Lepisosteus oculatus: one gene and its partner. The protein of the gene in region 1 binds, or shares a complex with, the protein of each later gene. Links are inferred from orthologs where the notes say so. Each region holds a gene or a part of one and is shown on either strand. Other genes may lie near its edges.

Region 1 (7,495 bases):
TTAACGGCTTTCGACTTGTTACTGCACAGTTCTGCACCAACTGTTCGTTTTCCTTATCCTTGTAATGTAGTACACATCAGTACCGTTCCGCGCAGTGTGTCAGAACTGTACTGTTCCACTGCAATACTCTTTATGTGTGCTAGTTATAAGATGAATGGAGCAATGACACTTCGTACACACTCAGGGGAAACCAAGGCATAGGTCCAGGGCGATATTTCGAGCAGGTCCGTCAGTCTCCACGCACGCCTGCGTGGAGAACACGCACTGGGGTGGGTCATTAATCGATAAAGAGCCCACGGGTGTTACCTGCAGTAACTCATCGATGGGAACTTGATCCTCGTGGTACCATTTGGTTTTGGGCCAGCTCTCATTGATCGATTGTTTGGTCAGATCAGCTCACTTTATTTTACCTGTAATTACAGTACTTCCCGGACGGCGGTTCGACAGCGTCCCGACTACCTTAAAAAAAAACCCGAGCCCGGGACCACGTGACATCAAGGACCAATGGCAGAGCCCGGTGTCGGGTTGCTAAGGAAGTGGCGGGGACTCGCCTCTCTAGCCCTGGAGACCGCCGCTTGAATGTAAACAAGGAAAGTTAATTTGATTAATGAAGTAAAACAAACCTGGAAAGCACCGGGAGGATTGAAGGTAAAATTTCGGTGTCTTCGGGATTAAGTCGTGAGGTGTCTCACCACTCTATAAAGCTGTTTTTTTATATTACATGAAATACAATCTCGAGAGCGTCTTTACCGCTTGGAACAGCACCTGCATTGTTTACTATCTGGTAACTGGACAGACTGGTCTAGGTTGTGCCAGATAACGGAACGGTGTGATGTTACAGTAGAATAAAATGTTATTTCACACCCTTTTCCAGGTTTCTGGAGTTATTATTTTACAAGGATCAAACACCTGATTTTTTTCTGCAAGTAACTTGACGCGCCTGCCAGTAGGAAACAGCTCGTATTTCTATCACAGTGCATAGTGTGTGATTTATTAACAATGGGTTCGTAACAGCATGCTATAAAATGCGTTAAAACGTGAGTTAAGAGCATCCTACCACAAGTGCCTTCCCCTTTTCACTCCCAACTTAATTTCAGAGTGATTAAAATTAAATTGAATCATTATTTTCCAGTTTGTAACAACAGAGTAGCCTGAAAGAAGCAATTGTATCATTAATAGATTGAAGAATGCAGCTTTGAGGATGCATCTGCACTGAATCTGAGCAGTGTGATAAGAACATAAGACAGATTAGACATAAGAAGATCAGCAATAATATTATAAAGATTACATTACAAAAGAGGAGGCCATCTAGCCCATTTGATGGTTATTAATTGATCCAAGGAGCTTATCCAATCGTTTTAGTAAAGACGTCTGTGAAATGGTTTCAACAACAAGGCTGGGTAGCTTGTTTTGTTCCCTACTCTTTGGCTAAAGAAGCGTTTGTTCTATGCTCTTAAAGCGTTTCAGCATAGTTTACATACAGTACAGTGTGTGTCCCCTTGGTCATGTTCCATGGTTTAATCTGCTGGTATCCACTGGTCCCCCTGCGTGATGGTAATGTTTTTCCAGACATACAGACCAGCACTTCAGTGGGCTCAATATGAGAGCAAGTTAATTAAGTGAGTCTGTGAATTGATCATCCAATGAACGTTCTTCAAAGGTGAAGGAACTGACTCGGGTGTTTAAAATCCTCCGGGCCATTGAGAACATCAGCCCATTGGATGTCTTCAGAATCAACAGAGCAAAACAAGCGAACAAGTGGAAACGAAGGGGAAGCACATTCATCTTGTTTGTCACCTAACAATTATATGACCTTTATTTATCACCATTGTTCCCTATGCATGTAATAGAAATCCATTGGAATGTTTCACAAGGTTATGGGTGCTCCTGTTCTAAAATAACCCTGGCCAGTGCCCACTGCAGTGTAGTCCTCTCTCACATTGCAGTATGGTGCTCTTTGCCTCTGTGATCTGATTTCTTCCTCAGCGCAGCAGCCTTTAGGTGAGGTATGATTTCCCAGGTCAGATCGTTAGCACTGACAGCTGGTCTCGGTGCCGGAACAGTTCAGGGACCAGCCAGCATTGTTGTAAGATGAGGGTGTCCGTAAACCTGTGACGAGATGGCAGAATAGATGGCTATTGCTACAGGATGATGCTGATAATGAGAACAATCTACCTTACCTGTGAAGTGTATTTCGTATACAGTATCATTCACTTTTTTTGCTTTACTTGTATACAGGCTTAAAGTTTTGACAGTACCTGTATTTCATTTATCTTTCCAGTGTCAGTGTGAAATAGTGTCCTGTTGTGTCTTGTGTCTGCCAGTGTGTAACGGTGTTCTGTTGTATCTTCTGTCTGCCAGTGTGTAACGGTGTTCTGTTGTGTCTTGTGTCTGCCAGTGTGTAAGGGTGTTTCTCTCTCAGCAGGATGGCGGAGCTGCACATTATAGGCCAGATTGTGGGGGCCAGTGGCTTCCCTCAGAACAGCCTCTTCTGCAAGTGGGGTGTCCACACAGGTATTCACCAGCCATGATCAGGCCTACCTTCACTCAGTTCTAAACCTTCAATGATTTGATGTCCTCCCTTATCTCAGTGAGGACACAGTGCACGTGCGTTACAGTGTTGTGTGTGTTGCAGGAGGGGCATGGCGCCTGCTGTCAGGGCTGAGGGAAGGGCAGACACAGGTGGACTCTCCCCAGATTGGTGAAGTGGCCTATTGGAGCCATCCCATAGACCTACACTTTGCCACCAAGGGACTGCAAGGTACTTCCTCCTCCTTCTCTTTCCCTTTTCCCTGTCTCAGTTGCTTACCTCTCTTCTCTTTCTGTCCTCTCTCCTGTCTTTCCCCTTTTCTTCCTGTTTCTCATTCTGTTCCTCTCCTTTCTCTCTCTGTTTCCCCTTTCTTCCTGTCCTCTCAGTCTCTGTGATTTGGAAAAAAACAACATAAATGTTGCCCCACAACTGTAATCATACCTTACAGCACATTGTCTGTTCATCTGTCGAGTTAACTCATTTTAATGCACATCTATGTAAACCTTCTTCCTTTGGTTAATGGTTTCTGCGCTGTATTTAACAGTGAACTGAAATGGCCCAGAGTTTGATTTATGAATGCATAAAATTGCCATTTGTATTGAGCACACTTTTTTTTAAGATCAATTTCACCTTACAGTATGTTGTCTCCAGCTCAGAGCTGATGTTTCTGTACTGATGTTTTCAGTGTGTCCACACACTTTGCTGTGGGCCTCCCTTTTACTGCAAGAGGACCGCATCTTTTCACATGTGCTGTGCAGTGACGTCAAGCATTCTGAACTGCAGTTTCAGCAGAGTTAACCCTTGCTCTTTGTTTCTTGGATGGATGAAGACAAGCTAACGTTGACTCCCACTGTCAAGGGTTATACTGTAGTTCCTATGAAAAACGAGGGGTTTGCAGAATTCAGTTATGGGGAAGAAATATCCATCTGGGTGAATGGAAGACTTGCACTGACCTGGATTTTTTGGGGTTTGCTTTTTGATTATTTTTTTTTACTCCATCTGGAAAGAACAGTTTGACTTGAGCTTTGTCTCTCCAGGGTGGCCCAAGCTGCACCTGCAGGTGTGGGACCAGGACTCGTTTGGCCGCTGCCAGATGGCTGGCTATGGGTTCTGCCACGTGCCCTCCAGCCCTGGGCACCACCGACTGCGTTGCGGCACCTGGCGGCCCCTGGGGCCCTGGCAGGACAGGCTGGTGCAGACCTTCGTGGGAGGGGGGCCACAGCTGCGCTCCCCTGACCTCATCTACACTGGGGCAGACCGCTACAGACTGCACACGGTGGCTTCGGGCACCGTGGACCTGGAGCTGAGCATCGTCTTGAGACACTTCGACCGCTACGGAGTAGAGAGCTGAGAGAGGAGGAGAGGCAGAAGGGAAGCGCAGGGGAAGGTTTGAGAGAGGGTTTGGTGTGTGGGGCGAGAGGGAGAACGAGAGAGAGAATGGGAGGGGATGTGAGGACTTGAGGAGGCCAGCAGGCTGCGAGCTGTCTGCAGTGGAAAACTCAGGACGGCTCTCAGGTCTGTCCAGTTCTGGACCTCAGCAGGGAAAGAGGGGAAACAGTTGCTGTGTGTGGACAGGTATCATGCTCTTTGTAAGTATGGCTCTACCCCTGCTCTGCCACAAGGGGGCAGGCTGAGTCTTGGAATGGCATCTCTCATACAAGTTCCCATTAACACGTTGACAGTCACACGCAATGAAACTAATCCCATTCTTTGTTAAAATGAATTTTTGTATTTGAACCCAGCGTGACTTTTGTATATTTTTATATATGTATTGTGTTTTAGAGTTGGAAACCATTTTACTTTTTTAAAACGCATATATTAAAAGTTTGGTTTTCCATAGTTTCTCCGATGTTTAATTGTGGGTCAGTAAATGAAACTATGAGGTCTTGTGCCTCTTGTTTGAGGGCTCTTGTGCTGCTGCTTCTTACCTTTATCTTCTTCTTTGCCATCTTTCCTTTCATCTTTTTCCACTTACTATATATCATGATTGTCATCTTTTCTCTTTACTAACCTGTTTTTATTGTTTTGAATGATTGTATTCCTCATAATTGTCTTAATCTTTCTGCATGGTTCTTCTGCGTAGGGCAAGAGAGATGTGTTCTCTTTCAGTATCTCGGTGTGGGAGGCTTGTTTGTGCACAAGTGACAGTGTTTTTGTTTGAGTGCGAGAGTGTGTACTATAATGTGCGACTGAGTGGATTTGTGTTTCACAGTGTGAGTTTGTAACTCATTGTGTTCTTGTATCCCCCTGTTTCAGTGTATCTTGTCTCCTGTTGTTCTGTGCCGTGTGGGGTAGCCCTGTGGAAAAAGGAAGGAAAGATGTGTTTGAGGTCTTTGAGAGGACATGTGCAGGGGAAGATAGTGCAATAGGAATTATCTATGTGCAGTAGACTAAGAACCACACTAATAAACTTCCCCATAGTATTTCCTGGCTGTTGGACTTATTCAAGTCACGGTCAATCGCTACTGCGCAGAAATGTGTTATCTGATCACTTTGTTTTAGTTAGTTCACTTTGCCTGTCCGTCTGTCAGTGTGTCAGTCAGCCGGTCAGTGTGTCACTCAGTTAGTGAGTCAGTGGGTTATTCAGCTGTCTTGGTAGCTACTCAGACTTCCAAGTCTTTCTGTATGAAGAGAGAGCAACACTCTCACAGTCGGAGAAGAAACAGATGTTCTAGCGTTGCATCCGTTTACCCTCATTTCCTGGGCGGAGAGTTTCTGGCTCTTTTAGAGCTGCAACAGGAACGAAAAAAATTAAATAGAGGGAGGGAGGGTATGGAACAGCCCTCACTAATCATTTTGTCACTAGCAAGCTCTGACAAGCAGAAGTAGTTGAGGAGAGAGAGAGAGCGTGAACAGAAAAAGAAAAGTGGCTGAAAGAGAAAGGTTCCGAGCTCTTAACAGAGAGCCAGAGAGCTGATAAACGGGGGGGAAAATCAGTTAAAGAGACGAAAAACAGACAAATCGGGACACAGAGTGAGAAAGAAAGACTACGTTCGGATCAAAACTTTTAATAGAGGAGCTCCGAATGAACACTTACTACAGCTAGCACTACAACTCCTGCTGAGACACACAGACTGGTTTGAGCTGCTTGATTTTCATACTCTGTTCTTTTCAAATGTTTGTGCTTTAGCGTCTTAAGGTTTATTTTCAAGAAATTCCCTTTAAATATTTGTTTCACCTTTTTTGCCTTGAAACGGCTCCTCTGTTTGTTTGTTGAGTTTTATTTTTGGAAAGAGCACGGCTCTTCGGCTTGGTTGGAAGGAAGGGAGTAGTTTCTTTTGCCTTCTTCCAGTTGCTTTAATATTTCTAATAGGGTCCAGACAAGGAAAGGTGGGGGAGGTGGTACGTTGGGTTGTAATTGAGAGGTGCTCTGGGCTCTGGCTGCTGTGTCAGAGGGGTGCCTTGCTGTTACTGCTGCTTTTTTCCAGGCACATTATTCGGCTTCCTCTGGGCTGCCTTCTCCTACGCTCTGTAACACCTCATCCCCTCTGGGCTCCTCTCACACTCTCTCTGCGCATACTACAGGGAAGAACTGTTATTTTGGAAAAAAAAACAGACTTTATTTTTAAGCCTCTGTGTTTTGTTTTGAAGCAGAATTGAAACTGCTGATGGTGAAATGAGGAGTACCAGTTTCCTTTAGATACATTACAAATTTTTAGCTTATTGAGCTTTTATATATATATATAAATGTATTTATAGTCTTTTTTAATTTATTAATCCCAATTCCCCCCCCACTGTTTTAATTCAGTTGCTGGTAGCGGATTATTTATTGTCTCAGAACGTGTTCTGTATTTATTTGTTTATTTGAAGAGAACAGCTCTTCTGTGATAGTGTGCTGCGTGTGTTGGCTCTCTTGCTCTGTCCTTGTACCTTTTGGTGAGAAGGCTGGTCAGCTTTAATATCTGCTACTGCTGTCTGAAGCGGTCTGATCCGGAGTGTCACCGGCAAGGCAAGCTAACAGATCTGTCTCAGGAAGTCCGGGTCATCTGAGAGTACTTCTGTTTTCTTCTTTACCGCTTCAACTTGATCGTGGAGAGGAGGAGGGGAGTCACAGCGAGAAGGAAGGAAGTAGATAAAGAGAGACTCTAAAACGAACGAAGAAAGAATTAGCAGTGGTCGGGGTAAAAAACGAAAAAGATGAAGGGACAGAGAGTCAACAAGCGTGAGGGACAGAGAGCTTGAAGCCAAGAATACAGAGAGTAAAGATTGGGGACGAAGAGACGAAAGCAGAGAAGGGAGACCCCTAGTTTCCAGGCGGGGAGACCAGAGCTGAGCCCCCTCTCCATTGCAGCCCAGCTGTGGAGAGAGACGGCTTTTCATAAAGGAGGCCACAGAGGTAAGACGACCGTCTCCAGTTGTCACAGGCAGAGAGGCTGATGCTGAGGACACCTGTAGCCCTAAAATCCTGCATTGTCACCTGTGCTGAGACAGGGAGACTTGTGGCAACGTGCTGTCAGGCTTGTCAAAGAGGGGTAGTCTCCTCCCTTGCCTTGAGACACGGGAGTTCTCTTATGTGAGGCAGTAGCACTGGACGCTTTTAGAGGGAAGTCCAACCACTACACAGAGCCTGAAGATAACTCAACAAGACTTCATCTGTTTAATTCCTCCCCCATCTCAACGTGCTGGACAACCGAGGGCTGTGTAACAGGACCGCCAGAGCACAACAGGACATCAATCAAGCAGTTTGTAGCCGGCTAGACTGACACTCAAACATTTAATTAATACACAGGTTACATATACCAGAGCAGGATTTCCATAAACCTGCGTTGTGCTTGAGTAAAAGACAGCGAGGACACTGTCGGTACGTTGGGGCGCTTGTTCTGGTCACCATGAGATCGGACCGCTTGTTGTTCCTGGGCCTGTGGTTGCTAGGCAGCCTGAGCCAGGTCTTCGCCCTGTCGACCTGCAAGCCGCTGGACCTAGAGCTGGCGAAGCGCAAGCGCATCGAGGCGATCCGGGGGCAGA
Region 2 (7,996 bases), on another chromosome or scaffold:
TATTGAGTGTGAGCAATTATTGTTAATTATGTGAATATTTCATGTTGTTTTAAAATATATTATTTTATACTTAGCTGTCGATTCGAAACGACGTTTCCGCCGTGCATACAGAACAGTGATGTTATTAGGCAGCATTAATTACAGGGGCTGGAACAGGCGGTCAAGATCCCCTTTAAATATATTTGTTGAGTCCAGTTCTCCTTCAGGGTATCACCGGACGAGGATGAATTATCTCTTTGTACTGTGTATAGACCAGAATCCAAAGCTTTCGAGCAAGCAACAGGCTAAATGTTATCATCTGATTCAAGACACGTATCAGAAAATAAAAGATCACAATCTTTTTAGTTAGTTTTAGATGGGACTTTAGTTATTTAAAATTAGTTTATTAAAATTTAAATTAGTTTAAATTAGTTTAGATGGGACACTTGCTTTCTGTACCGCCGTTAATATACCATAACGTCGGCTTTATTTATTTTTTATTTCTAACAGCGCTTTATTTAGCAGAAGAGAGGTCAGGTGGGCGAAGACGTGAAACGAGGAGGGGAAGACGGATGGAGCTCGCGTCAGGTCGAGCGCATGGAGAGGGCACCCGATTTCGACGAGAAGCGGAAATCATCCCAGAGCTCCTGCTCTATTGTGCTCGTCCTCCTTTCGACCGCGAATTAGACTGCAGCTGCCCCCCGGTCGTATAGAGCTCAAGCGTCGGTCATTAGATATAACATAAAAACGCTTGAAGGTTTACAAACGAAAAGAGAGGTGCAGCCTGTTTATAGCTAGCTGGGGAGCTTATCCAGGTGTTTCTCTGGGGGAAGACAGAATATTAGGTTCAACGGCAAGGTTGGGTAGTTTCACAGTCCAGCAGGCCCTTGTGCATGAGAAGGTCTCCCGTTGACACTTTGAAACGCACTTCCTCATAGTTACCGTTTGGTTCCTGAATTCAACATGAATCTGACAGACGCAATGAAGCGAATTGTGTGTACGAGGGCTTCCTGGCCCGTCGTTTTGTCTTGCTTTCCCTGGGAACAGTTTAGATCAACACTGACATCTGCTGGTACCGAGAGAGTACAGTTAAACCACAGACCTATTGATAGAAATTGGCATTTCTATCTGGTTAATTCAAATTATAGTACTATATACATATATCAGCTGGAAAGGTTTCTAAGGTTAACTAGATGCGATGTTTTTATTTTTAATACTATATTAATATTTACTAAATTTTCCTTTGGCCTCAACAAGACAACAATAAGACCAGTGTAATACAGAATACATAAACCGTCCAGTGTGTTTTACAGTATGCATACAGTCAAGTCGGTGAAGTCATCCCTGCATGGTTTTATCAAAAATATACTCTGTGTCGTCTGAAAAGCTTAGTTTATTATCAATGAACACACATAGATATTAAAAACAACGAACCATCTCCACAAGCTGAACATTTGTATTTATAGGTTGCAGTGTGGTTGGCTCAAATTCTGCCAGAGTGTAGCATAATTGTTTTGTTTTCCTGACTTTTATTTCAAAAGTGATTGATTGGCACCAATCGATAAGAGCTAACACTCGATCACAGTAGAGTGTTTGGTCAAGGCTATACTATTTAAGCAAAACACCATCATTAATCTGCTTTTCATTTGTATAGGTTGAAAACAACACTGGTAATAAAACACATCTTTATGTTTTAGTTTTAAACCAGTCCTCCTGGTGAAGACTGGATTACTTGATCAACTCGTTTACAGTTTCAATTCATCATAGAAAATGTTTTACCACAGATAAACGCAAAGAAAATTAATGTCTACCAAGTTTTAATACATCCAGTGCTATTTACTTTTCAGCGAATAATGCATTAAAACCGTGACCAGAAATAACTGGCACGTCAAAGCCCAAAAACCGTCACTTAAATCACGGATGTACTGTATGACACTGATAAAAGATCCTGCTAACAGTGTGAAAAAAGAAATCGCTGCCCTGTGTCAAAGTTTAGCTTTGTTTCCGCATCAGCAATTTCTGTGAGAACGCGAAAAAACCCACTGTTTTGGCGTTAAGCATTTTAAGAACTGTGGGAAATATTGTTTGGTTGTTTTGTGTTTTTGCAGCAGAGATTACGTTGATAAGAGGTTAAAACAACTCTTGTATGCATTAGCGACACATTTTATGCACGTTTCAGTGACATCTTCTATGTTGCGTTAGGTTTGCATTTTTTTTTGCATTATTTTGCTTAGGATCGGTCACCAATAAGACACTTTCAGTCGGCTGGCAGGGTTGTCCAGGATCACCTGTATGTTTATGCAGATTTTAATGTACAGTAGTTCAGGTGGGTAGCTGCGTCAGCATGCTTATCCTGCAAATGAACAAGTAATAGGTTTATTCCATGCTGAAAAGAGAAGAGAGAAAACACGTTTCGGCTGTGGAGCCTTCTTCGGGTGTGAAGAAGGCTCCACAGCCGAAACGTCGTGTTTCCTTTTCTGTGTAGTAGCCACACAGTAACGTCAATGACAATCACCACGGAAGATTCCTTTATAACGCTTCTGCGCCACTAGATGGAGACAATGATTAAAATACCGCACTTCTTCCCTGTTTAGTCTCGTACTCAAGGTCAATGGTCATTCCCGCCGGCTGGACTGCAATTAAGCAGCAACATCACAAGGTGGCATGACACAATATGACAAGAAAAACGTTTTGTTTTTGTTCGACTTAGGCTCGCTCTTTAATGTACCTGTCGTCACGGCCACCCTTCAAAGTGATGACGGACGAAAATATAAAATCCGAAAGGAGTCAGAAAGGAGACAAACGGAAAGGCACACATTATTAAAATAATGCTTGTAAAAAAAAAAAGGAAACGTAACTCGCGAACGAATTTGTGCAAGATGTATGCAAATGAATGAGCCTTATTTAAAATCTGCGCCCAGCTATAGGGAATCCCTGAGGGAGCTCTCCCACAGAAAATGGGAAATCCCCTCTTCCCGCTGGCACTATACTACTCAGAACACCCAAGTCTCCAAACATTAATCTGCAAGAGAAAGTCAATGTCGGAATACAAGAGGCAAGCTGCAGCAATGCTGGAAACGCACCGAAGCAGCATGGACATCAGGCGGTGGTCCAGCAGGGTTTAAGCTTGGAAGTTTAATTTAAAAAAAAAAACTTGGCTCGTGAACTTGAGACGCGGTGATGTTTTCTGGGATGTTCGCGACAGAAGCAAGATCCCAGCATCCTTGTGCTAGTCTGGATTAACTCTGAGACTCGGCAAAAAACAAACAACAACAACACTGTTATTTCACCTCACAGGAGAGCAGGTAGGTTATCGCGTCTTCCGTAATAATGTCTTCCAGGTGCAATGACTGATGTGCAAATTTTCTGATCAGTTTCGTTGAGAACATCCAATGGAAATGCGCTGCTTTCCGCTAAGCAAACTGATGACCCCTTCTGGTGTTCCTAAAAGACTCGTATATCTGACAAAGAAAATATTATTGTATTTTTAAAATCTTGGTAATAAGAAATTATAATAATAGACACTTGCCTAAGAATAATCACAGTGGCATCTTTAAATTCACGCCTTATATTATGTAGGTTAACCTATAACACTCAATAATATCAGAAGTGAACCTTTGCTAAAATCTTTGGTTGCAAGTGTTTTAACTTATTTATTAGAGACAGGTGGCACTGTACTAGCTTCAAGTGGTGGAGATAAAAATGTTGTCTTTCTCTCAACTACCTATTATTATTATTATTATTATTATTATTATTATTGAGATCAATTAGCTGCCCACTGTATCTTCAAACAACATTTTTTATATAATTTGACAAGGAAAAAGACTGTTGTTTCCTCAAGGCTTTGGTAAGGAAATAAAAAAATACAGTAGTCTATTCATTAAAAACACCTGCTGCCACAAGCCAATTACACAATTGAACCTGTAAGCCATTTGATTCGCATGTTCAGTAAAAAATAGACACAAACAAAAAAATGGGAAATTCATGACCTTTTCAATTTGTGCCCTTAAAAAATGTCAGTAAGCTTTAGTCATCTATTATTCTCAAAGCTGACAGAGCTCTCTTGTTGTGAAAAAAAAATGTTTTCCAGTTTGTGAAGATTGGAGTTGTAGATTGCTCAATGAAAAGTGAATGCGCTTAGAGGCTAACAAAACCTCTGTTCAAGCCTTGTCATGTCTGTAAGTCTTGAGTAGGCAAACAGAAAGACAGGCTGGATCTCTGCTGTTTTGTAACAACCTTGAGCTTCAGCTTTTGTGGTCCTCCCAGGACCAGCTGCAGGAAAATGCTTTTTGATACCGGTTGCTTTTACCTGTGTCCCAGAAATTCTGGGAAAAGGGTTTTTGCTGAGCCATGTAGGCTACTAGCTGGACTTCCTGAAGGTGGGGTTAGGCAGGTGTTACTGATGGATTACCTGGCGGCTGGGTATTCTTTTAAAGAATTTCTTCCATCTAGCAGAGGGTTACTCACTGGAGTAGTAAGTAGTAACGCCTTTAAAATTCTACAAAGACATAATTGCAGGGCCTGTAAAATCTTAAAATAAACCAAAAAACAGTGGTAAGGGGGGAGGAATACTTACAGAAAAGAATAAACATGTTTCAAAGTTTGCATTTTGTATTCGCATGGAAAACACGCACGGAATTTTAAACTGTTTATGTGCCGTATTGCATGTTGAGCAGTGCCATCCCGGATGTGAGGAGATAGGAGTCTTATAAAGTTAGACACATTTTGAAGCATGAAGCATTAGGACCCTGTTTCACCATGTGTTGTCAGATAAGAGAGAAAACATGGACTTCCCAATCCCAAATAAGGAACTGACGGGGGGAAAAAAAAGCAATCCTGCAGGATATTCCCACAGGATGTATTAGCTGCCGTCTATAGCTGAAAGGTGCAGGGGCAGAGCCAGCTGGACAGCAGTCAGGGAGGATGTGTGAGCATCACAGCAGCAACATGAGCAGCACACTCTGGAGGGGGAAATAATTCTTACCAGAAGGTAACTTGACTTTTTGTCGATTTTGCTTGCTTTGTTCGATGCACATGATACAAATGAAATGAGACACGAGGAAGGGAGAATGGCCACAGAAAGAGGAGAGCTGGAAAGGAATTTTGAGAAGTGGAACTAGTGTGGGAAGGATGAAAGTGGGCTGTTTCCCAAGACAGAAAGAATTGGAAAGGCAGAGAGCTAGGCATATATATCGGCGTGAGAAGCTATGAGTTCCTATGGCAATACCTGCCACTTTTTCGAAGATATACACGTTTTCTAATCAAGACAATGTAAACAGTGGAATTTAAAGTCTTATCATAGTTGGATGTCACAGGAACTTTAAGTCTTTAAACTAAAGTAAGAAACAAACTTTTAAGCATTTAAATTCAGAAGGAAAAAAACTCCTACAAGAGGTGGTAAAAATACTCAGACGTGTCTTTGTGGTTTTACCACATGAGACAGGTTTGATTTTCTGGACAGTATTTGTTGCTGCTGTGGGACTTGTTGCTAAGTGCAGTCCAGTGTGTTTGTGGCTTTCATTTTAGTGGCTCATGCAAGCAATAACCAAGTAACCTCTCCAAGGACAACATTGCAACCAAGTCTTGTTTGATAGCTTGCATATGTCATAAAGCAATTGGATTTCCAATTGCAATGTTTGATAAAAATGGGCAACTTCCCACCCCTGCGAGAGGAGCAGTTAGGAAAATAATCTAGAAAAGAACATGACAACTTAACTAACAGGAATCTACCTGTCTATCTGCATGAGGTATATACTGTATATAATATGACAGAGTGAGAAATTGTCTTAACTGTATTATGACATCCATGCTGTGTCCACTACTTCATTCTCCTGTCAACCGGAGACTAACCTAGCAGACACAGGGAACAAGACATACTGCAGAAATTGGTGCACCTGGAGAAAACCCACATGAACATAAGGAGACTGTGCAGGCTCTGCAACCAAGAATTGAACCCAGGACACCCGACTGTGGCACATCTATATTACTGCATACACGTAAAAATACACTTTGATTGTTGCTTTAAAATTTGTAATGTACTTTGGTAATAGAATTTCTATAGAAGTGTAACTAAAAGCCTTTTCTGTTTAAGACCTAAATTAAAATGTGTTTAAGCACACTTCTAAGTTCAACAGTTTAACAGTAATAGTTTGAAAAGGTAGCTCCTTATTTTCCTCAACAAATGGCCTATAAATATTTCAATGTATTCATTCAGAAAGTTGTCACACTCATATCTGCCTGAGCACTGTGTCCAGGAGCAGTTGATAAGCCATTGATAAGTTCTTAATTAGTCAATTTTGGTGAGTAAATGCAGACTGTGTGTTACATATTTAATTATAGCTAACCTTTAAACAGACTTTTTAAAAGAATGGCTGATCTGTAGGTGTTTCCTGTTATTTTGTATTCTCAGATTTGTAACAAACTGTACATGGATTAAAAGAATCAGGTGCTTTTAGATGGTTTTGACTGTATTGTCAAGATTGGAAGTTCTGTGGTGCTGTGTAGTGTTAATGGACATCACAATAGATCCGTACACACAACATGCTTCCTGTCTTAGGTATACTGTGAGGACTGCTTTCCTACCAATTAATTTCACTTTAGAAACCAGTCATTTTCTAGGTCCTTATGACCCCAAGTTCACCTTAAGTTTAAACAGTAACATCTGGAGGTAGTAAAAAAGATACATTTATAGATAAAAAATGTATAGATAAAACTACTTTGATAAAGATTGTATGTGAAGTGGGTTTGCATGTGTATGTACTCAGCTTAGTGACTGTGACATGTTTAGCACGTCGATTTTAACAAAGGTATTTAAGCAGTTTATTTTTTGGATCCAATTAAACCTGAAGAACAATAAAAAGCCGATCTACCTGATTATTTGATAACAATACTGTAATTGTGTGGGACAATGACACAATCACAGGTCAAAGTCATCGAGTACATTTTTATTTTCACTATTTTGCCATTAAGTGTCACTGTCAGAGCCTCCACTTCCCTGTCAGAGCTGTTAGGCAGCTTCTCATTGAGTTTCATCCCACACAACGTCTGAAAACCCCCAAGCCATGGTCTAGTCCTTTCATTCTGTTTTTTCTTTTTTCTTATTCATTCATGATTTTCTGTGTGTTTTTTTTCCGGTGTTGATGCTCCAGACTTCGAGCACGATGGCACTGTATCTCTGGTTCCTTCTGGCTGTCACGAATGAAGCGACGGCCACATTCCGGCCCCGGCAGCTCTCTCCCTGCCCCATGGTAAGTGACCAGAAGCGTGGTGAGTGTGGCTGGCCAGTTTACTCTGCCGCGAGCTTGTGGGCGATGCAGCACTGTGGTGAAGACGGATCGTTTGATTCAAACAAACTTCAGCTTTCACGGCTTGTTGTTCTCTGTTCACGAGCATGACCTGGTAAGAGGAACTTGTTGCCTTTGTTCGGAGTTAAATGACAGCGTGTGGGGAGCACAGAGAAGTGTCAGGACAGGAACCTGGAGGAGTGTGCTCATAGAAGCTGCTGTAACACTTTGAAGCTTGTCCATTTCACTGCTGTGGTGATTGCTAGCAGAGCTCATACCTGTTTCAGGCAGGTTGGCGAGGTGAGCTCAACAAAAGGCTTTTCTGGACGCAGAGATTTCTAAATTTCACTTTACTTTTTGTACGCTAAGTGAGGCTAATCTAATATTAGGAGCAGCGAAGAATAAATTCTTAGCTAAAAAGCATGGGTCATAAAAACAAATTGGGATTTCACAGCAGGAATGCCTATTTGTTTGTTTTAATGAGCTTCTCATCAGTCTCTGCCGATTCTACTATGTTTTTGCCTTGTCTCATAAGAACACAAGAAATGCTAACATTTCAACAGTTTTTAAACTTCTTTATAACACGAGCTTGTTCCACCCTCCTGCCACCCTTTGGGTACAGAAGCACCTCCTGCTCTTGGTTTGAAATGCTTTTCTATGTAGTTCACTGTTCATTTTGAAGAAGTCAGCTGGGTTGTCAACACCTTTGAGGATGTTGAATACATGCGTCAGGT

The links.
Region 2: the proteins of tgfb1b (region 1) and lrrc32 are in contact, whole or in part, in a cryo-EM structure (PDB 8VSC), measured with the Homo sapiens proteins. The link is inferred for Lepisosteus oculatus from reciprocal best matches to the Homo sapiens genes TGFB1 and LRRC32. Residues at the interface, in NP_000651.3 of Homo sapiens: Leu30, Ser31, Thr32, Cys33, Lys34, Pro325, Pro327, Tyr328, Ile329, Trp330, Ser331, Leu332, Thr334, Gln335, Tyr336, Val339, Leu342, His346, Ala353, Pro354; in NP_001122394.1 of Homo sapiens: Ser135, Tyr137, Glu158, Ser160, Thr162, Val184, Met186, Asp187, Ile188, Glu189, Asp190, Phe193, Leu202, Leu204, Arg206, Asn207, Ser208, Leu209, Thr210, Cys211, Ile212, Ser213, Asp214, Phe215, Ser216, Leu217, Leu223, Leu225, Cys227, Ser229.

Annotation. Positions count from the first base shown.
Region 1 is NC_090698.1:6,675,535-6,683,029, forward strand, and holds the start of tgfb1b (transforming growth factor beta-1 proprotein), read left to right. Parts: upstream 1-4,463; 5' UTR 4,464-7,359; coding exon 7,360-7,495. Other genes in the region: b9d2 (B9 domain-containing protein 2), read left to right, coding at 2,427-2,514, 2,636-2,761, 3,568-3,881. UniProt on the Homo sapiens protein: Transforming growth factor beta-1 proprotein: Precursor of the Latency-associated peptide (LAP) and Transforming growth factor beta-1 (TGF-beta-1) chains, which constitute the regulatory and active subunit of TGF-beta-1, respectively.
Region 2 is NC_090700.1:6,485,960-6,493,955, reverse strand, and holds the start of lrrc32 (transforming growth factor beta activator LRRC32), read left to right. Parts: upstream 1-4,979; 5' UTR 4,980-5,888; coding exon 5,889-5,975; intron 5,976-7,127; coding exon 7,128-7,226; intron 7,227-7,996.